4 linked regions of the Nothobranchius furzeri genome follow. Each later gene encodes a partner of the first gene's protein in a complex. Links are inferred from orthologs where the notes say so. Each region holds a gene or a part of one and is shown in the gene's direction. Other genes may lie near its edges.

What was found. The genes of interacting proteins can lie anywhere in the genome.
Region 2: stac3 (region 1) and cacnb1 share a complex: the UniProt entries of both Homo sapiens proteins name them as parts of the calcium channel complex. The link is inferred for Nothobranchius furzeri from reciprocal best matches to the Homo sapiens genes STAC3 and CACNB1.
Region 3: stac3 (region 1) and cacnb3a share a complex: the UniProt entries of both Homo sapiens proteins name them as parts of the calcium channel complex. The link is inferred for Nothobranchius furzeri from reciprocal best matches to the Homo sapiens genes STAC3 and CACNB3.
Region 4: stac3 (region 1) and cacnb2a share a complex: the UniProt entries of both Homo sapiens proteins name them as parts of the calcium channel complex. The link is inferred for Nothobranchius furzeri from reciprocal best matches to the Homo sapiens genes STAC3 and CACNB2.

What each region holds. Positions count from the first base shown.
Region 1 is NC_091755.1:32,734,321-32,739,746, forward strand, and holds the start of stac3 (SH3 and cysteine-rich domain-containing protein 3), read left to right. Parts: upstream 1-1,788; 5' UTR 1,789-1,987; intron 1,988-2,675; 5' UTR 2,676-2,705; coding exon 2,706-2,713; intron 2,714-3,155; coding exon 3,156-3,234; intron 3,235-3,407; coding exon 3,408-3,564; intron 3,565-3,643; coding exon 3,644-3,741; intron 3,742-3,853; coding exon 3,854-3,914; intron 3,915-5,233; coding exon 5,234-5,331; intron 5,332-5,426. UniProt on the Homo sapiens protein: Required for normal excitation-contraction coupling in skeletal muscle and for normal muscle contraction in response to membrane depolarization. Required for normal Ca(2+) release from the sarcplasmic reticulum, which ultimately leads to muscle contraction.
Region 2 is NC_091745.1:12,111,114-12,116,683, reverse strand, and holds the start of cacnb1 (voltage-dependent L-type calcium channel subunit beta-1), read left to right. Parts: upstream 1-2,082; 5' UTR 2,083-2,218; coding exon 2,219-2,305; intron 2,306-5,570. UniProt on the Homo sapiens protein: Regulatory subunit of L-type calcium channels. Regulates the activity of L-type calcium channels that contain CACNA1A as pore-forming subunit.
Region 3 is NC_091755.1:54,936,227-54,941,680, reverse strand, and holds the start of cacnb3a (voltage-dependent L-type calcium channel subunit beta-3a), read left to right. Parts: upstream 1-1,966; 5' UTR 1,967-2,105; coding exon 2,106-2,186; intron 2,187-3,307; coding exon 3,308-3,400; intron 3,401-5,454. UniProt on the Homo sapiens protein: Regulatory subunit of the voltage-gated calcium channel that gives rise to L-type calcium currents. Increases CACNA1B peak calcium current and shifts the voltage dependencies of channel activation and inactivation.
Region 4 is NC_091747.1:46,810,481-46,815,799, forward strand, and holds the start of cacnb2a (voltage-dependent L-type calcium channel subunit beta-2a), read left to right. Parts: upstream 1-1,831; 5' UTR 1,832-2,450; coding exon 2,451-2,534; intron 2,535-5,319. UniProt on the Homo sapiens protein: Beta subunit of voltage-dependent calcium channels which contributes to the function of the calcium channel by increasing peak calcium current. Plays a role in shifting voltage dependencies of activation and inactivation of the channel.

The sequences.
Region 1 (5,426 bases):
CGGATGCCCTGCTACCTCAGAAAAAGTTCAACTTCAGAGCAAACTGTGGCTTTTTTGAAGTAGGAGGGTGTGTTTGGGTAGGCCTGTAGTTGATTCGCTATAATGTAAACAGTTGCCTCTCCCAAAACAAAGTCAGAAAACAACAAGCAATGGAAAATAGACTTAAATTAAATCCCACGGAGTCTGAAAAACGTCTAAATGCATGCGTTTAACAACATTACGGTATAAATATTGCAGCTAACGTGTAAGCTAACAGCTAAGCTAACAGGCTAAATCCACTTGGTACTCTGTTGTCGTGACAGCTGTCAGGAGCACTAAACACTCCCGATGCAAAACTCTAGTGTCTTAGCTACGGGTACAAGAAACGAGCGTTGCACGACATTGTTTAGCTAAAAACCTTCATGAAACTTATCCACACATTTCACTTATTAACAAATATTTGTTAGCTAACGTCAACATGTTGTGAACAATCTTTCTCTGCGTCAAGCTATGTGTTGACCACCAAGTTTAGAAGTCTTCGCTCTTTTTCGTTCGCTGGAAAATCAAGAGTTAGCTAGTTAGGACTACTAAATTAATACTAAATAAAATACGTAGAAAACGATCAACACTCTAATAACTAAAACGAATCATTACATAATCCAAATCACGAACTGGCACGGCGAGTCAGCACTCAAATGTTAGTCAACGTCTTCCAGTCGGACTTAAAAACAAAGGGGGCAATAACGCTTCATTTTACTACGCCTGGGTTCTTCTGGAGGCTAGCGTTCCCAGCTAGGCTAACTGGAGGGGCTAACTCAGTGATATTTACTTGTTCTAGAGTGTCCCACAAAGACAGAGGGATGTCCCGTTCCCGCTCCACACCTATCCAGCCGTCGCTTTGGTCTTTCTTCTGCTAATCCGCATAGCATTCAATGGTATTCCGACAAACATAACGACCCGTGTAATCCCCAATTCACAGTTACCCTCTGTTTTTTTCTTACAAATTCCGAGAAAAAAATAATGGAGTTTTGTTTTGCGCAGGCGCACTGAGCACGTAAGGAATATTGTACCCAACATGCAACGAGACATTTGTAGTGTTCCAGTCAGACGTCAATCCACAGGGGGCGCTGTTTGGTGGACAGGACATAACAGAATAATATTCCGTAAACAACTAATAAATACACAAACAAATAAATGTATTATATTTGTGTACAACGTTTTAACCTCTACATCAACAAAATACACCTTTGTAAAAAAGTATTCTGAGTTGGAGTTAATACTGGGCTGACAGCTCAAAAATATTTTGTATATAAACAGAGGAAAAACTTTATAGGATTATTTGTTACAAATGAAATAAAACAACGAATAAAGATGCTTGCTAGAGTGGTTGAGTTACATGGCAGTTATTGTTTAAAAATCAATGTTTCTTTTATGTATTTATCCAGCTTTTGCAGCATCTACTAGCATTCAGAACAACTTGAACATATATATAAATAAAATAGTTTTTACAACTTTGAAAGAGATGTAGTCATTTTTGTTGTTTCTCCTTGGTCTCCCAAAAGAATGGAGGGATACAGGCCCATGAGCAGGACAGATACCTTTGTGTGTGTGTGCGTGCGTGCGTGCGTGCGTGCGTGTGTGTGTGTGTGTGTGTGTGTGTGTGTGTGTGTGTATGTGTGTGTGTGTGTGTGTGTGTGTGTGTGTGTGTGTGTGTGTGTGTGTGTGTGTGTGTGTGTGTGTGTGTAGAGAACATATCTGATTTCTCATCGTCACTGGTGCTTAGTTTGAGGTCCTTCAGCTGTTGCAAACTGTCAACGTCACAAAGCAGTGCTCAGCCTGTCATGCTCACAATTACACCCATAGATACACAAACTTACAGCTTTAATAAATATCTGGGTCGCACTCAGCATTCACGCCCAGTGTGGGAATAACCTGAAGGAAACACAGAGGGACCATACAGTACTGGATCCAGAAGTGCTGAAAAGTGAGGGAGCATTTTGGTCAGTTGGTAAGTCAAACTCTGCTTCAATGGCCACATAACACTTCAGAAAAATCTAGCAGGTGAAGGGAAGCATTTTTTTATTTACCTTTTCTGTGTAACCTCTAATAACTTGGTAAGTGATGGTGAAGTTTATGTGTAATTTTTAATTATGTCTCAAGTAGCAAAAATGCCTAATGGAATCGTTTTGTAGGAACGTTGTGTGAATGCTACATCCATTTAGCCCGTTATTTACTCATTTTTCCTGAAATTCTTTTATGCTGTCTGGAATATTTTCCTGACATGCAGCAGTTCCTAAATTTAGTTTTCAGATCAAATTTCAAAAACCAAGAATAGAGCAGGTCAGGATGACAAATGCTCTTTACCACTGTTTGCTACAAGGTATTAGCTCCGAATGTCACACAGAGAGAGACTAAAGACATGTTTTATGTCTCTGCTTGCTTTATAGTTAATAATTTGACCAGATCCTTGTCTGAAATAGTGAATTTCAACTATAGCAACAATTTCCCTTGTCATCCAGGAACGTGTTTGGTGCTTAAAAACAAACAAGTCCTTCAAAATGTAGGCAAATCAGAAAAGAAACATGCAATCCAAAAGATGTGGCCTTGTTTTGCATTTAGGAAAAACGAGCTACTGACAAACTGCAAGTGCATCTTGAGAAAAGACAGACAGTAAAATGTACATGATTTCTTTTAAGGGTGCAGTATACTGATATTTCCAGCACTCCATGGATCAGTGAGTACAGTTCATGTCCATGTGCTGCATGTTTCTAACATCTCTGTGGGTTTCACTAAATAAAATCTGAGCTCTAAATTTACCAGTGCGACTAAAATCAGGTTTGTTTGAGGTGATGAACGGGGAATCTTGTTGAAGCACATCATGGTTCTCCTCAATGTTCCTGGTTTAAGAGTTCACTCATCAAAAAGGTGTGTGTTTGGATTTATATGTAACTGGTCTGGATCCTGGAGCCCTATCACCAGCTGGTTGATGTTTGTGCATGATGGGAAAAGGTGCGATGTAAAAAAAAATGTCCTTCAAACTTTGAGCAGTTTTCACATTAACGTTTGCTGATAAATCTCCTCACATGATCCAGATGTTCCCTCTGCGATACGTTTTTACACCACAGTCATGGCAGGTGGCTTCAGTTGGTCTTCATCTTTCTCTTTGTGCTTCTTAGAGAGGATGACAAAAACTCCGTGGACATCCACGACAATCCTCCAGCCCCTGACAATGTAGTGAGGGAGGAAGGAGACACGGTGAGTGGCAGCACCACGTCAACCACTCGCTATTAGCAGCCGTTCTCAGGCTGATTAAAATAGCCTCCAGCTGGGACGGGACTGCAATATGGTGTTTGTTTATATCTCATGAGTTAATAAATAAGTCCTGATCACCTGTATGGAACTGTTCTCTTCTTCGTCTTTGCTTGCAGGTCTATTTTATTTATGAGGAGGAGGTGGAGGTAGAGGAGAAGGAACCAGAACCTCCTTCCGAGCCCATTGTTCGGATCAATGACAAACCTCACAAGTTTAAGGACCATTACTGCAAGAAACCCAAGTTCTGTGACGTCTGCGCTCGCATGATAGTCTGTACGTGTTTAACCCAGAAAATATCACGAGACATATTTTGAGATTTATGATGATTCGGTTAACTTTGCACATCTCTTAGTGAACAACAAATTTTGTCTGAGGTGTAAAAACTGCAAGACCAACATCCACCATTCGTGTCAGTCCTATGTCGAGTTCCAGAAGTGCTTTGGAAAAATCGTGAGTTTTCTCTCTCTCACACACATTTGAATTTAAATGTCTAAAAAAGCACTACAGGACTAAATGGAAGGTTTTAGTTGAAATTTTTTCTTTTTTTTTCTTTGTCTTGTAGCCACCTGGCTTTAGAAGAGCCTATAGTTCTCCTCTGTACAGCAGCGACATCCCAGATCCAAGTGAGTCCATCAAACCTTCAATCACTCCTAGAATTAGTAATCCTTTATTTATTACTGCTAAATCAGAGTAAAATAATTAAATTTTACGGTGAATTCTTTTAAGCAGATGTGTAAAATTAGTAGGGAGGTCGGAAATATCGACATCAACATCATATCGGCTGATGTTTGTTTTTTATCTGTGTATCGGTCCAATAAGTAAAACTTGGCTGATACTTTCTTCCATCTAGTTGCTATTGTTGTATCTTGGAGAGAGATGGTCATGCAGTGAATTTTTAATCATGTCAATCAGTCAATCAATCAATCATTGAGAGCAATCTACAATTTATAATGGTTAGAAGTGCCCAATGTTGAAAAATCTTCCTTACAAAGGTGTAATTATATTTTAGGGATGTCCGTTACTAACAGCTAATGTTGGCATTTAAGGTGCATTATGTAGAAATGAAGTAAATATGACAATCTGTGGTAAAATCTGGTTGCTGCAATCACTTTAAACAACTCTGGAGCTTTTTGCCGGCCGTAGTCAAATTACAACTATCGGCGCTGCAGTATTAGCTCGCAGGAGACACAACAACCCCACACTTGTCATGTTCTGCGGGTGGTGGGTTTCAGGAGGCAGATGAGCAGGCAACGGATGAAAAAATTAAAAGATGTTTAATCGTAGACTGGGAGCAACAGGACGAACGAACATGCACAAACGACAATGAACCGACAAAGACAGCAACAAGGAGGGAGGTATAAATACACAAGGGAATCAGGAACACATGGGCAGAGTAATGAGGGACAGGTGAGAACAATAAGGCTAATCAGGGCAGGAGAGACACAGTCAGGGAGGCCGGGGCGGATCATGACAACACTCACTGGTAGTAAACACTAGTTACGTCCATCTTTCCTTTGTTTTGAAATGAGATGAACTGACAATCCTCACAGCCAGCTGGATATGAAATGTGTTTAAATATAACCTTCCTTCTAAAATGACCAACACTTTTTGGATTTTCTCACTGTAGATTTTTCACTATATTTTTACATAGTGCACCTTTAAAATGTAATATCAGAAATAATGAGTTGATTTTCACTCTTTTAATGACACAACTTTTACATGCCATGTACATATTAAACATCAAATTCTTCAGCATGGTCTAATAATAGCCATTTAATATTAGCCCATTTTTTGTATCAGTGCATCCCTAAAAATTTGAGATAAAAAAATCTAATGTTTGTAATGCCTGGACTATAGCATTTTCTACAGATTATTCATTAAATAAAGCTTTATAATTGAAAGTGCTGATATTTTCTGGCCAAAATTTTCCATCCGACACCAGACAACCCAAACCGAAACGACCCAGTCTTTGACACACTGAGAGTTGGTGTCATCATGGCGAACAAGGAGCGCAAAAAGAATGAAAATGACAAGAAAAATGTGAGTATTTACGATGAGTTTCATCAATAAAAACACAATAAAACACATTTCAGAAACACATCATTGTGTAAAACAAACCCAACAAAGGTATGAAA
Region 2 (5,570 bases), on another chromosome or scaffold:
CACAGCAGAAACACGTCTAAAGAAATGTTCCTTGGTTGAGCTTCGGTTTATGTCTCCAGATTTCCTCTGTGATGCAGAGAAATATCCAATATTTTGAGAGGGATGGTTTAGTGCAAAGTACTCACGCATCCTGTCATCAGTTTGGTACCACTGCAGGATCAGATGAAGCTTGTTAACACCCTTTCTGGGTCTAGAGGCTCCTGCTGCAAAACTACATTGGGCTCACTTCTGGCTGGCTGCTGTTCTTCCAGTTCGTCCTTCTGTGACGGCGTTAGCGCAACAGCGTCTTACGCCGCATTTCCCGCCACATCTTCGGGTCGTGTCTCCTCCGGGTCTGGCTCGGGCCCGGCCTTTGGCTCTGCTGACCTATCGCAGGTTCACAGCTGTCGGCCGGCTGCCCGAGCAGCTCGACAGAAACTTCTGTAAAGCTCCCCGCTGTCTCGTCTTTTGTTCCTCTTCATTTTTTTTCTTTTTACATTTTGACGCACCTGAAAGCATCGTGAAAGTTAGCCTACTCAAAAACTCCTGCTAGCTTTGTTGTGTCCCGCTCTGACTCTGACCGCTTCACCGACGCCCTTAATTAGGTGGCGCCCAAGTTGTAAGCTACAGTCATGGGCTGGCGTTAATGTGACGTAGCTAATGTAACGGTCTATGTTCAAGATAAACATTGTCACTATTTTTAGTTAATTAAAAAATATTGAAATAAACTGTAGATATGAGTCCTATCTACAAATTCTATCATAGGACATTTGTACATTTTATTTTTGATTTATTTATTTTTAATTTTGTCCCTCTGTCTGGGCCCCATCCAGCCAATCAGGCCCTAGGCACGTGCCTACTTTGCCTTTGCGTTAATCCGGCTCTGACGGCTCCACCATTATTTATGACTGTTCTTTGTGGCCAAACGGCAGGAAATGCCTTTTATGCTTATGTATGTATGTATATATACATATATATATATATATATATATATATATATATATATATATATATATATATATATATATATATATATTCTAGCTATTATTAGGAAAAGTGAATATACAGATTAGTACAGTTCTGCTCAGTTTAATGTGAAAGGAAACTAAATTAAAGTTCAGCATGAATTCTGTTACCTTAAAATATTTTACGCAATTATTGTTCTCAAACTGAATCATTTTTAAAAATTAAAAATGGGAAAACACAAAATTCATGAAAGGTAAAGCTGAAATGAATCTTTACACGTGTTTGTCTCTGGTGTGACGTCAACACTCCTACTCTGGGGTCAACCTTAGGTCACAAATGGAGCAGGGTCTCTGGGTAGTCTCACTCAGCCTCTTCAGACTCTGATCCAGGAGAAAACTAAGGACAGGCTGAGATGGTTCCTTCTGTTTTACAGGCAGCCCCGCGGGACTCTGGGGAGGTCTGAACACCTCCAGCCTGTCATGGAGCTCTGCTGCGGTCTCATCACTCATCACCGTAAAGGTGGGGTCTCTTCACTGGGGCGTGGACCTCGGCTTCCAGCTGGAGGCTGATGAGCGCACACAGGAACAGAGAGGGCGTCAAGAGGGATGAAAAACACAAGCACGGCAGTAGTTGGAGGATGTTGCCTTCAAAATAAAAGCACACTCTGCTTCTCAAGGTGCTTGTTTGGATCTGGATTTTCAGTCTCAAATGTCTCTTTGGGTAGCTCGTTATTAACATTCATTCACCCTCATTGTAATTCTGTCCATGATGCTGTGTAATAAGTTTTATTCGATTTCCACGTATTAAAGATTGATAAACATGGCAAAAAACAAACAAAAAAAACATGCAGGGCAACTGGGAACACTGTGGTTTGAATTTTGGTGTAGAATTTTCATCATTGTAATAATAATAATAATAATAATAATAATAATAATAATAATAATAATAATAATAATAATAATAATAATAATAATAATTATTATTATTATTATTATTATTATTATTATATTAAAAACTCTTATTCTGTAACCGGAAACGCTCTTGCGTCGGTGCGGAGCCCTCCCAGCCTGTCGGTACTTGGTGACAGTAGCTGAAGGCTGGAGGAAGGCAGCTGTTGCCATTATTTAACCAACCAGCTCAGAAACATCAGCGGCTTTTCCTCCTTCCCTAGACGAGAAATAAAAAGATAAAGTAAGTAAAATAAAAAAGATGCGACTATCAGCACCGTCATAAATTAACAAGACTGAAAGAGATTCCTCGAAACTGAAATCAAATGGTACAGAAAAGTAATAGTATGTCCAGGACGCCTTCGACCCCCAACCAGGAGATCCCCATGGGCATGATCGACCACCATCCACAGGTAAGAACCACAGAGACATGTCACCTATCGCCTCTTTTCACTGTTTACACGTTGATGATGCTCCATTCCGGAGATTAACAGGTTGTTCTTCGGTCTGCTGCTTGTGCGCGCGCGTTACAGCTGCGCTTTTATTTTCTAATAGAGAAATGGGGTTTGTTGTTTTATAGTCGATCATTTTGTACGTAGGAAACAGCAAGTCTGTTGGCGCTTTAAGCACAAATGAAACGCCTGTTGTCTAACACAAATTAACCGGAATGTACCACGTAGACGTCCAACGAGTTGTTGATCTGAGTAAATGATTAAAATCCTTTAGGCTACACATCTGATCGGCATGGTAAGCATTTAGGGAATTACTGTAATCTGCAACTGTTTAAAGATAATTAATGAGGATTCTTGTCTGTATGTTTTACTGAAGCATGCACTAAACTTAACTAGCCAAAATAAATAATAAACAGGAGGTGTATTAATAAAAATGTGAGTAATAATAATAATGATGAAGATAGTAAAAGAAACACTTAACTGAGAAAGTAAAACTGCTGAAAAAGTGGGCAAAATTTATATTAAAACTAATTTGGATATATATATATATATATATATATATATATATATATACACACACATATGTATATATATATGTATATATGTATATATATGTTATGTATATATACATATATATATATATATATATATATATATATATATATATATATATATATATATATATATATATATACACACATATATATATGTGTATATGTGGGCGACGGTGGCACAGGAGTTAAGTGCTCGCCCCGCAATCGGAAGGTTGCAGGTTTGAGCCCCGCTCAGTCTGTCGCTGTCATTGTGTCCTTGGGCAAGACACTTAACCCACCTTGCCTGCTGGTGGTGGTCGGAGAGACCGGTGGCGCCAGTGCTCGGCAGCCTCGCCTCTGTCAGTGCGCCCCAGGGCAGCTGTGGCTACATTGTAGCTCATCCCCACCAGTGTGTGAATGTGTGTGTGAATGGGTGAATGACTGATTGCGTTGGAAAGCGCCTTGGGGGGTTCCAGGACTCTAGAAGGCGCTATATCAAATACAGGCCATTTACCATTTACCATATATATATATATATATATATATATACGTGTGTATATATACATATATATATGTATATATATGTATATATATGTATATGTATATATATATATATATATGTATATATATGTATGTATATATATATATATACATATATATATATATATATATATATATATATATATATGTATATGTATATATACACACGTATATATATATATATATATATATATATATATATATATATATATATATATATATATATATATGTATGTATGTATGTATGTATATATTATAGCCCAGTTTGCCCATTAAAGTATACACCAAATCATCCTGTTTTTTCTATTTTTATTTGCCATGCTTTAATGACACTGGTCTGTTGAAAGGTTCATTGAAGCGCTGATGGTTTGGTTGTTAAACAGTGGGCATGTTTAGTCATGACTCTTTAAAGTGATGTTTTTTAAATTAAGATGAAAATATCTAGAACAAACACACCCACACTGAGATCAGTCATTGTGTCTCTAGAGAAGAAAAACCAGCTCATCACAGACAACCAGCGTTTTAAACCATGCCAAGTCCTGCTCTCTCCTCTTTACTCCCACTCTTCCCAGCTCCCTCTCATCCCTCAGCTTCTTCCACATCTTCTGTGAGTGTCCCGCTCACTCTCGCCATCTCACCTCTTCATGTCTGCTTTTAGAAATCAGATCTTTTATCAGCTGAGAGGGAGCAGTGAGAAACAGATGGACGACCTCCTGGTGCAGGCAGCGTGGCTTTCTGAGTGTTTTTATGTGTGTATGACACCTCCCATCAGTCACACAGCTCTCATGTTGACGTGCAAAAAGTTACACTGTTTTTATGCATTTATAACTACGACAAACAGAGAAAATAAAACTAGAACATCTGGAAAGAGATGATGTGAGAAATAGAAATGACTTGTGGGTGGAGAACTTGCTTGAATTCAGAACTGGGCGTGTCTCAGATTAAAGATCCTGTCTGCTGACCGCAATCAGATTGCAGGTGAATCTCTGAGCAGAATGACAGAGGATTCTCCTGTAAAAGCAGAAAAATTCCTTGTCAGTGTTTTACCACCTCATCATGCAGCCTCTTTAATTATGCACTTATCTGAGAGGATGTTTACCAACAGGAAGCCTCCACACCCTTTCTCCGCCCTTTCCTGACAGGAATCAGAGATCCTTCCTTAAGGCTGATTCATACTGACATTGCTCCAGCATGTCGGATCTGTTGGATCGCCATGATGTGGCGTCGTATGGGCGATCCAACAGTGTTGGGTCGTGTTGGAATGTCGGTTGGAGTCGAGCTCTATTTTCTAAACATCGGACAGCGGCGTTGTATGCATGGGCGTCTGTTATTGGTCAGCCAAACAACCCAACGTCATTTCCGGCACGACGTAGCTTACCTTAAAAAATGTAAACAGCACGAGTGTTTACACAGTCCTGAAGACTCGTTCTCGCTGTGCTCTTTCTAATAATAGTTGTTGTGTCACGCTGTGAGTTGGGGGAGGTTAGGACCCAAGATGCAGACACAGGATGACACAAGGCAGGAGTAGTGAAAACGTAAAAAATCCTTTATTTAGGGGTAAATTCAAAGGGCTGGAAGCCAAAAACCAAAAATCCAAAAAAACCAAGAGTCAAAACCCTGGGAACATCCAAAAACACAAGAGACCTAGAGAACGTCAAAATACCTAGAGAGGGGATGAGCAAACGCTGACACAAACAATGGACCAACAACCACACTGAAGGTTATATCAAGGGCTAGGTGAGTAGGGAATTGTGCACAGGTGAGACCAATAAACAAAGGAAGAGCACAACGAAGCAGGGGAGGAAACCAGACCTAAAAATGGGGAAGGGCGCAAAATGAACTAGAGGGAGAAAACAGACTAGATAAAACACTTAACAGAAGACTAATGATAAAAGGTGTCTAAGGAAAAACGTAAGGGAAACCTAGAGAGCCTGGAGGGGGTTGGGGAGACACCGGGACGCTGAAACCTGGGGGGAACACCTAAGGGGAAAAAACCTGGAGTGGTCTGGGGAACACAAGGAGGCACATGAGGAGGGATGCAGACAAGGAGACACATGAGGGAGACGCAGGACGCAGACCATAACATGTTGTTCTTCTAGCTCAAGCAGCTCCTGCTTCGCTCTGTGTCGCCCATCTTTTCGCGTCGCAAATAG
Region 3 (5,454 bases), about 22 Mb from region 1:
ACAGTCAGGACCCGTTCCCCCACCCAAAGGAGCAGGGAAGCTACCCTCTCATCCCCAGGGGTAAATCCCAACATACAGGCAGTGAGTCTTGGGGCTAATAAAAATCCCACCCCAGCCCTCCGCCTCTCACCTGGATCAACTCTAGCAAAGAAGAGAGTCCAACCCCTCTCAAGGACTCGGGTTTCAGAGCAGATAGCTATGTGTCAAGGTGAGTCCAATTATATCTAGCCGGTACTGCTCAACCTCATCCACAAGCTCCAGCTCCTTTCCCGCCAGAGAGGTCACATTCCATGTCCCAATAGCCAGTTTTCTTGTCTGGGGATCAGACCGCCAAATCTCCTGCCTGGGTCTGCCACCCTATCTACTATGCACCAGACACTTCATGTGCCTCCTGCAGGTGATGGGTCCACAGTTGGATGAGCCCATGTTTGCAGTTCGGGCTGGCCCGGCCGGTCCCCATGGCCAAAAGCCCGACCACCAGGAACTCGCCCATGGGCCCCAACCCCAATCCTGGCTCCAGGGTGGGACCCCGGTAACCCTCCGAGTCGGGTACTCAAACTCTCTGATGTAGTGTTCATGAAAGGTCTTCAGAACCACTTTTCGTCTCACCCTTGCCCTAGGACCAGTTTGCCATGGGAGACCCTACCAAACAACAAAGCTCCTAGGATCATTAGGACACTCAAACTCCTCCACCATGATAAGAAGGATTAACATTATCATTATTATTATTATCATTATTGTTGTTGTTGTTGGTAGCTGCTGCAAGCAGGGGCCCTTATGGAGGATTTGTTCTCTTTATTATTATTCTTCCTCTCCATTTGCTTAAAATTAGCATAAATATAAATTACGCACATTATTAATTAATAACATGGCAGGGCCTCTCAAGAGTTATGTTTAACTTATACACTATCTTGTGGCAGGTCCCTTTTTAAAATTTCTTCAGGATTTTCTAGGCATTCTTCTTCTTCTTCTTCTCCTTCTTCTTCTTCCTATTATTATTAATATTATATTATTGTTATTGTTATTATTATTATTATTATTATTATTATTATTATTATGTGTATTTTTCAATTTTATTTTGTTGTTTTTTATCCTTATCTTTAGGTGGGCAAATGTTCAAAATTGAAACGTATAATCAGAATATTTCATTCATCATTTATTATTTCAAGACAAATAATTACCCAGCTTCAATAAGCACACACACAGAGGGAGAGAGAGAGAGAGAGAGAGAGAGAGAGAGAGAGAGAGAGAGAGAGAGAGAGAGAGAGATTTAAATAAGTAAATATTTTTGTTGTAAACAGGAAAAAAACATTCATATTTTTGGATTTCACAATGACGGTGAAATAAGTAAAAGAAAACCAAATGCAATTATAACAACCAGAATCAGAGTAGAAATGTGGTTCTGGTTCATATGTTTTATGTCTAAGTGAACATTTAATTTAATCACTTGTAATATGTACTTTTTATTTCATTTATAGCCACACTCTGTCAGTATGACATTTATATTTTTAACTGGATGGAAACAGGAAATCAGTCCCTTAACTTTCGACGGTAGGGATTTTTCTGCCATCTGGTGGACATAAGCGGTTACTACAAACATTCATTAAGTTAAATAAGACATAACTCATCAGTACTTCCTGTCATAATTTTCAAAATAAAACATCACACTTAAAATGACTACTGCTTTTAATCAGCGTTGACAGCATAGTTATAATTAAATAACAGAAACGCCTTCAATTATTCAAACTACGCAAGTCAAATTATACAAACTACGTAAGTCGTGAACTCATTCCTTCTATTTTACTGCTCTGTGCTTGTGTGCTAAGCAGGAGCCATCAGCATGCAGGAGGCAGTGGGATACACTATTCGGTGTGTGAACATTATCTAGCTCCAGCCACCCGTGGGTCCTCCTCTCACGATTCATTTCCTCCTTTTTATCCGAAACCGTTCTCTCGTCTTTACTCTACTCGCTCTGGATATTATTCCCGCTCCCCCACACCTGTTTTCAGTTGGACTGCATGCATTTATGTGCTTGTTTCCCGTTCTCGCTCCTTCCAGGAACGCATGTCCGTGTTCCTCCCGCCGCCTCCCTGCGCTGTCGATAGATGATGCAAGTCAAAATGTCCAAATCTTCCGTAGACCCTTTGTCTGCTGTGGAAACGGGCTCCCAGTCGCATTACTTTCAGGTAAATCCGCTCACTTTTCTCCCAACGCTTCCCCGACCGGCTGAAGTCTTTAGAAACGACTAGCTGACATCTCTAACGCTACTTGTTGTGGGGGACACGTACTTCTCCTCTCCCCCCTTTGTAACCTCAGTGAAACCGCAGCTTGTGAGCCCGCACGGCAGGCTCCAACATGTCACACCCGCAGAGAAACAGGCTGACACCTCCGCAGATCTCCCCAAATCTGCCCATTCGGTCCCGACTCTCAGATCGGGCCTGTGGCAGTGATGCTTTATTATTTATTTCAGCATGATTTCCTGCCTCGTCTCGTCTACATCAACGCAGAGAAGCAGGCAGCAGCACGGACGGACGGACGGCTTTTTCCCTCGGTGTTAAAACGACAAACCTGCTGTAGCCTTATGTCTGTGGTTGCGGCTCACCTGTTGGGGCCTGGAATCAGCGAGGTGCTTCTGTGTAGCTCAAACCATGCTGCAGAGCTCAGATGTGTGTTATTTGTGCAAATCTATCTTTTTATAGACCGATTACAAGAAGTACTTGTTCCAGAGAGTGTCAGTTGTTATATATATATAATTTGTTAGTATTTTTGCTATTAGACAGGAAATTGGAGGAGTGCAATGCTCTTTTTAGACTCTACTGTGTATAACTAAGGACTAAAACCGAACTTCTTTTATTAATTCTGGTAAATTTAGAAATCTGAGCTTTTAACTTTTATTGGGGTGCCAGCTTGCACCAGTCACCTTTGAAAAAGAGATTATGATCTCAAAAGATTTCCTGAATAAATGAAATGAATATGGATTTGGCTGCATAGATGTAGTGGAGTTCCATATTGGTTATTTAACGTATTCAAAAGGGAGGTCTGCTCTATTTTAGGTAAACTTGACATTTACAAGACTTTGGGGTAAAACAGTGCCCATACGCTCAGGTCTATTTCAGCTGGTTAAAATTACAAACGCTACTCACAAATAAAACAATTAGGAGCTGCAGCAATTGCACAGATGCTAAAGCAGTAAATCCCACCACAGCCCAGTTTTTAATTAACGTTTTCAGGTCAGACTTGTGAGCAGAACAGAACGTCCTCTTCTTTGACTTTTTCCTTTCAACATCTGCATGTCTTTTCCACACAGCTGCCCAGGAAGTTGCCTAAACGTAAAAGCCGCTTCAAACGCTCTGACGGCAGCACATCATCTGACACCACATCCAGCTTCATCAAGCGGCAGGTAAGCGCTCCTCTTTGTTCAATGCTAGTTGCTGCCAGCGACACACGGATGGTAAACCTTAGTGGGAGGAATAACGTTTCTATAGAAAATGTAGGTCATGCTGTGTGAGAGTGGGACCAAGCACTTCATCAGAACATGTTTTCCTTTGGTGTTTTGTCATAGCATTTTGCAGAACTTGTAGTTTTACAAAAATGAGTCACCAAACATGTCTCTGATCTGATCATTCCTGTTCTTCCTCATCACTGCACAGCATTGCTTCCTGTGTTGCAGGAGTTGTTTTACCCAGTAGAGGACAGCAAAATGCTGTAAAGCAGCAATATGTTACATCCCATCACAGCCCAGTTTTAATGAATGTTTTCAGGTCAGACATGTGGGAGACTTGTGAAGATTTTGTGTTATTTAAGAGAATTTCTGAGACTGAAAATATAACAAAACCTTCCATTCTGGTGGTTTTAATGGCTGCTAATTATAACATTACCTCATTTAAAATGACAATGTGTAGTTTTTACCATTAGTCTCTGGAAATATCCATCAAAATGTTGTTGAAAATGAATTTATTGATGCCCAATTTAAACATACTCACCTTCCCCCCCTCCACTTATCTGGGTCGCGGGGGCAGCATCCCAAGTACGGCCTCCCAGGCTAATCCTCTCCCCAGCCACGTCTGCCAGCTCCTCAGCTGGGACACCCAGACATTCCCTGGCCAACCTAGAGATGCATTTCCTCCAGGTAGTCCTGGGTCAACCCGGGGGCCTCCTGCCAGCAGGGCATGCCCAAAACACCTCCTGAGAGAGGCGTCCAGGAGGCATCCTGACCAGATGCTCAAACCACCTAAACTGGCTCCTTTCGATGCGGAGGAGCATTGGCTGTACTCCGAGTCCCTCCTGGATGTCCGAGTCCCTCACTCTATCTCTAAGGCTGAACCTGGCCACCCAGCGAAGAAAACTCATTTTGGCTGCTTGTACCCGCGATCTTGTTCTTTCGATCATCACCCAAAGCTCATGATCATAGGTGAGGATTGGGACGTAGATCAACTAGTAAATTGAGATCCTTGCTTTCTAGCTCAGTTCCCTCTTCACCACGACAGATCAGTTTAGCGCCCGTATCACTGCAGATGCTGCCCCAATCCGCCTGTCGATCTCCCGCTCGCTCCTTCCCTCACTCGTGAACCAGACCCCGAGATACTCAAACTCCTCCATTTGACGGAGGACCTCTCTCCCGACCGGGAGTTGGCAAACCACCCTTTTCCGATTGAGAACCATGGTCTCAGACTTGGAGGTGCTGATCCTCATCCCAGCCGCTTCACACTTGGCTGTGAACTTCCCCAGCGAGAGCTGAAAGTCGGAGCATGATGAAGCTAGGAGGACCACATCATCCGCAAAAAGGATTGATGAGATTCTCCTGCCACCAAACTCGACACCCTCTGCACCACGGCTGCACCCAGAAATCCTGTCTATAAAGATTGTGAACAGGACTGGTGACAAAGGGCAGCCCTAGCGAAGTCAAACCCTCACTGGGAACAGGTCCCACTTACTGCCGGCTATGCGGACCAAACTCACACTCCTCTGGTACAGGGACTGAATGGCCCATAACAAAAGACCATCCACCCCTCACTCCTTAGTGCCCCCCCACAGGGGGCCTCTGGGGACACGGTCATGAGCCTTTTCCAAATCCACAAAACACATGTGGATTGGTTGGACAAACTTCCATGACCCCTCCATCACCCTAGCAAGGATAAAGAGCTGGTCCATAGTTCCATGGCCAGGATGTAACATATAAGCATAAAAATCAAGTCTAAAATAAATGGGAGTGGGTCTATTTAAGGTATTTCTCAATGTCAAGGCGCTTTGCTTACGAGGACACTGTCCTTCCTTGTTGAAAGAAAATCATTAAATAGAACAGACTTACCTCATTTGACCACGGCTGCCCAGTGGCGTGCCCTTGTCCCTGGTGAACCGATCATTATACTGCAACGGATGCAAATAAATGCCCCCATCTGCACACGTTTTGCTGTAAAATGAAAACAAAGTAAAATATAAAAAATACATTTACTG
Region 4 (5,319 bases), on another chromosome or scaffold:
TCAACAGCATTGCAGGATTATTTGTCACGTCTTAAAAAGCTGATACCATTTACTGCAACTTCCTGAGAAATGTTGAAACAATAGAAGGAAGTCCATCACATTTTCTCTTATTCTAGCGAATTTGCTGTTATTTTAGAAATACCAGCCCCATTGGCATTTCCAGGAAAGCACCAGACCACACTTGTTTGTGTGTAAATCTGCTCTTTGGCAGCATTAATGCCATTTTTTTTTTCTTTTACATGTGTGCATCTCTTCAAGGCAGCTGCTGTCAGGATGGAGGAAGGAAGGGCTTTCATCTGGGGCATGTTGATGTGTCCGCTGACTGCTCTGTCAAAATATGAGCTCAGCTTTGGGGGTCATCGAGGCAGCAGAAAAGAACAGGAAACATAAAAATATTTCCCGTTGGATCTAAGAGATGTCTATGCATGGCGATTCTTTTGCACCTGTTATCGTTGTCACACAAAACGACACTAGATCTATTGATTGTTTCCTATTGCAGATGTGCTCTTTTAAAGAGTCTGCAAATGTGTTTCTCTGCTGGTCTTTCTGCAGTGGTTTAATTTAGCTGCTGAAAACAACCACAAGCATCTGTGAGATGTTGAGACGAAACCGTGTTAGTCAGAGATGAACATTTAAAAATGATAAAACAAGAAATACGTGGATAATGTGGGGAAGAAAACTGCTAAACTGGGTATTGCACTTGCTATATACATTTAGTTTTTTTCTTTTTTATTGCATACATTTGAATAACTCTAAAATACAAACAGACTGATTTCTCACTGCCCTTTTTAGTTACATGCAAATTCACACACAGCCACCAGGGGGCAATGACGAACAGCAAAAAATATCAGCTAAACCAATTTCTGCATGTGTTTTATTTGTCAAACCAAGAAAAACAGCAAACATACTCTACTTACTTTGATGTAGGTTTGATGCAGCTGTATAGACAGGTTATAAATTAAAAGGGTCACACAGGTTATAGGCTAAAAACATAGACTCACGCTCTGATTCTTATAGGAATTTGTGAAATAATCTAAAATATTGCATTAATTGTCTGCAGAAACAGAAAAATACAAGAACAAATATTAGATATATTGTTCTTTGAACCGATAATTTACATGATCTAATTAAAGGGAAAACGCAACAGCAGCAGGTAGGAAAGCGCCGCTAACACTGGACGTAGAATCATAACCAAGGTGTTGTGGTCACATTTGTAACCTGTTAATTCAGTAGCAGCAGAAACACGATCAGTGAATCCTAAGGATGCATCGGTCCAGTCAGGTGAGCTGGAAGAGAGCAGGTGGAGGAATATAAATATCACACAACCACAAGAACCTTCAAAGTTTTAAAATTGTGCATGAGAATGGTTGCAGCTGGGTCGGATGGGTAAAGGTTGTGTGTGATATTTAAGAGAAAACATAATTTCTAACTGATGAAAGCAACAAGGATCACCAAGATTAGATTGTTTTCCCTTTTCTTTCACCTTGGAAGTGGATGAAGTTGTACAAAAACGTTTACACTAATAATAAGTTTATGCTTTTCAACTAATTTAACCACTGGTAGGTTCTTCAAGCAATCATTCTTGTTTATTAGATTTTATGCGATCCAGTTTACTCTTTAGGGCCAAATTCTTTTTCTTCTGAGTCCAGTTGCTGTATTTATTGTAGACAGGAGAAAAAGAAGTCTACGGTGACCTGAGTGACCCTACAGGTGAAACTAAAATGCAAAAGTCCATTTATGTCAGTAAGTCACCTTAGACTGAGACACCATCTAAAGGAACCATTTGCAGGTGTTTGGATATATTAGCTGATTAAAGTGTGACACTTAAAAGTGGGGTTTTCATGTTCTGTAATCCATAATAATCTAATTTATAACAAATCAATACTTAAAATATTTGTCTTTGCATGGAATGAGTCTACCTCATATATAAGTTTCACCTTTTAGGTTGTATCACTGACAAAGATGAAGTTTTGCATCATTTTCAAAATGTTTGAGTTTCATCTTAAATGCCTATTCTGAACAGGCCCCTCCCATTGATGGTGTACCACCTTAAGTACAAACTATCAAATAAACAAAGTCTTATCCTATATTTCCACTTGTCAGTTGGATGACTTGCACTTTTCCTTTTTTGTTCATCCTTCACCTGGACGCTGCAACTCATCCCATCCTTTGATCAGGTGAGGAGGCAGAGGAGTTGGAGAAGAGGAGCAGCGGGTCTCAGTCCGTGTGGGAAGGGCTGATCTGATGAGCAGGCTTTCAGATGCTGAAGGCTTTTCATTTGGAAAACAAACACCAAACATCTCGATGCCCGCTGGGTTGTAGCGGCGCCTTGTGTCCGTTTCCGTTCTCCTCGACGGCGTCACCATGAGTTTTGTTTTTTATTTCAGCCAGAACTCAGCTTCTTCCTCCAGCGAAGCGGTCCTGGTGAACGCGTTTGTTCGCGTTCCCTAATGGTCGTCAACAACAGTCCGACAACTAAAGCAGGAGCAGCTCCGGACCGACTCATGGAGAGCGCAGAACACCTGGTGTTACAGGTGAGTTCGTCTCAGTTTGGTTCAGTCACGGATGTTCATATTAACCGTGATTCTGTCCCAAAAAGTATTACTCATTCGTCTCGTAATTCAGGGGGGAAAAAACAACTATTATGACTTTTAATCCCAGAACTTTGACCTCCGAATTTAAGCGTTATAAGAATTCTGACTTTTGATATCAGAGTTATAACTTTGATGCCCAAATTCTGATTTTTAAGAGCAGAATTATGAGTTTAACGCCTGAAATTAGAGTCCGACTGATAGTTTTCCCATTGCTGATCCCAATTTGTAGGAGACATGGTCGGCCGATGGTCATGTGTGCTGCCGGTTTTTATGGGCCGATATCTAAATGTTTTTCACCTTTTTTAATGCAAAAATGTCACTAAAAACATCAGTTAAAGAAAGCACATTTTTACTCTGAATTTCACTAACTGTAAAATCTTAACTTTAAAGTTAAAGTCAGACATTTAAATAAAGGTGATTTAGAGTATTTATTATAGCGCCTTCCTAGGGTTCTACAACCCCCCAAGGCGCTTCACAACACAATCAGTCATTCACCCATCCACACACTGGTCAGCTACAATGTAGCCACTGCTGCCCTGGTGCTGCCGAGCATTGGCGCCACCGGTCCCTCTGACCACCACCAGCCAACAAGTCGGGTAAAGTGTCTTGCCCAAGGACACAACAGCAGCATTCTCTGGTGGAAACTGGGATTGAACAACCTTCTGATTACTGGGCAACTCGCTCAACCTACAGAGCTACTGCTGCCCAGATGTTATTAGTGAACATGAAATTACATTTAAATGAAATTCTGCAACAGTTGGACAATGTTTTATAGAGCAACAACAAATAAGGATTTAGGTAGAGAGATCTCAATCAAGTTTTTTTACTCCGATTCCAAGAAATTTGATTTAGAGCGTCTGCTGATACTGAGTCCTGATCCAATACTTTTCAGAAAAGCATTAAAATAAAATAAAGAAAGAAAAAGTTGTCCTTTACATTTCACTTTCACTTGTTTAGGAAGTTAATTGATTAAAAACATGTTAACATCATGAAATAAAAATTTAAACCAAACCATTTTTGTTCCGTTTGAATATCTCTTGTTTCAGGATGAAATTAGAAAGTTATATTTGTTGTTTTATAAGATATAATCTGATCTTTTTCACCCAATTCTAAACTTCTTAAAATCTCATGATCTGGCCCAATTTCCGATCACGTGATCAGATCGGACCATCCCTATATTTAGCGTTTTCTAGGCATTTTAGCACGTGAGTTAGGTCAATGTTTCTGTTTCATCAGGGGTGTGTTGTGACTCATTGGGGGATAACTTTAAAGAGACAATGTGTTTTTACCATTCATTTCTGGAAATATCCATCAAATTGTTGTTGAAAATGAATGAAATGATGCCCAGTTGTTGAAAAATATTGACGGCTTTGTAACATATAACCATAAAAATACTTGGGAGTGGGTCTATGTCTCTGGGCGACACCATATTAGATGCCATGCTTCCTTCTACAGGAGCCCATGAGGACAAAATGCATTTACTGATTTGTAACAAACGGTTACAAAACGTTTGTCCTTCTTAAATGTTGTTTTCAGTGATGAAAGGGAGTCTGATGCACTTGTTATTTTGCGAAAATTTGCACTCCCCAGGGCTTTTTGACCCTAACCCCGGGTTTCCACGGGAGCCGTCAGCAGCACGTTACTGCAGCAGCACGTCTTGCTCGCGTAAGCTGGTGCTTGGCCCTTCCCACGAGGCGCGAAGCAGCAGGGGAGCAGCTGTCACCTACAGAGCACGAAGTCACACGAGTGACTTCATCAGTAAACACAACAACAAGCAGGAGAAAACTACAACATGGTTTGTGTTTTATGTTCTGTCCGTTTTATAATCGCCAATACGGACCTGAAAAACAAAGGAGACCGCTAGCTAGGTGATAACTTCTCACGGGGACGCACAGTTAGTAACCTTTTTTAAAAGTAAAGCAACCGGAAGGCAGTACGTTCTTTATTCTGAAAATCTCTGTAGCTTCTCTCCATTTCCGCGTCCGATTTCCTGTCTTTCCTTCCCCAAAAATGTCGAACTTGACCCGTTTCAGAGGCGTCGCGCGTAGAAAATAGAACCGGCGCGTAAAGGCCGCGACATGCTGCTCCTGAGACGCGGCCGACTCGCGCTGCTGACGGCTGCCGACGGCTCCAGTGGAAAAGGTTCTGTTGACCACAGCGGTTCCTATCAGCAGCTATGACGTGCTGCTGCAGTAACGTGCTGCTGACGGCTCCCGTGGAAAGCCGGGGTAATGGGCATCCGTTGGTGAGGTCTTACTCCAACACAAAAATACTGCTTGTTTGCAACGATTTAGGTATCTACAGCCCCCTATCACCAGGAAAAACGCACACTGTCACTTCGACAGATATTATTTTATACACTTCTCCATGTAATGCATTTTTATTTTCTTGTCTGATTTTGATTACCTTCATTAAAATTTATATTTTGAATAACAAACAGCTAATTCAACAGATTAATTTGGCCAAACGATGTGTTCGTAGCAAAAAAATCATAGTTTTCACAGACTGTTTGAGCTTTGTAATGAGTATTTGCAATATGTGCATTTAGCATTAAATGTGTGTATTTGTTTATGTCTGGCTCCATTATAACAATGATTGACATGACCAGCCTTTGTTTTGTATTCATGTTTAACACGTCCTGGGGCTTTGGGCTGGAATAAAATACCAACATGTATTTCTACTTTACAGTTGCTATTGACAACAAATGCTGGATGAGTTCTTGTAT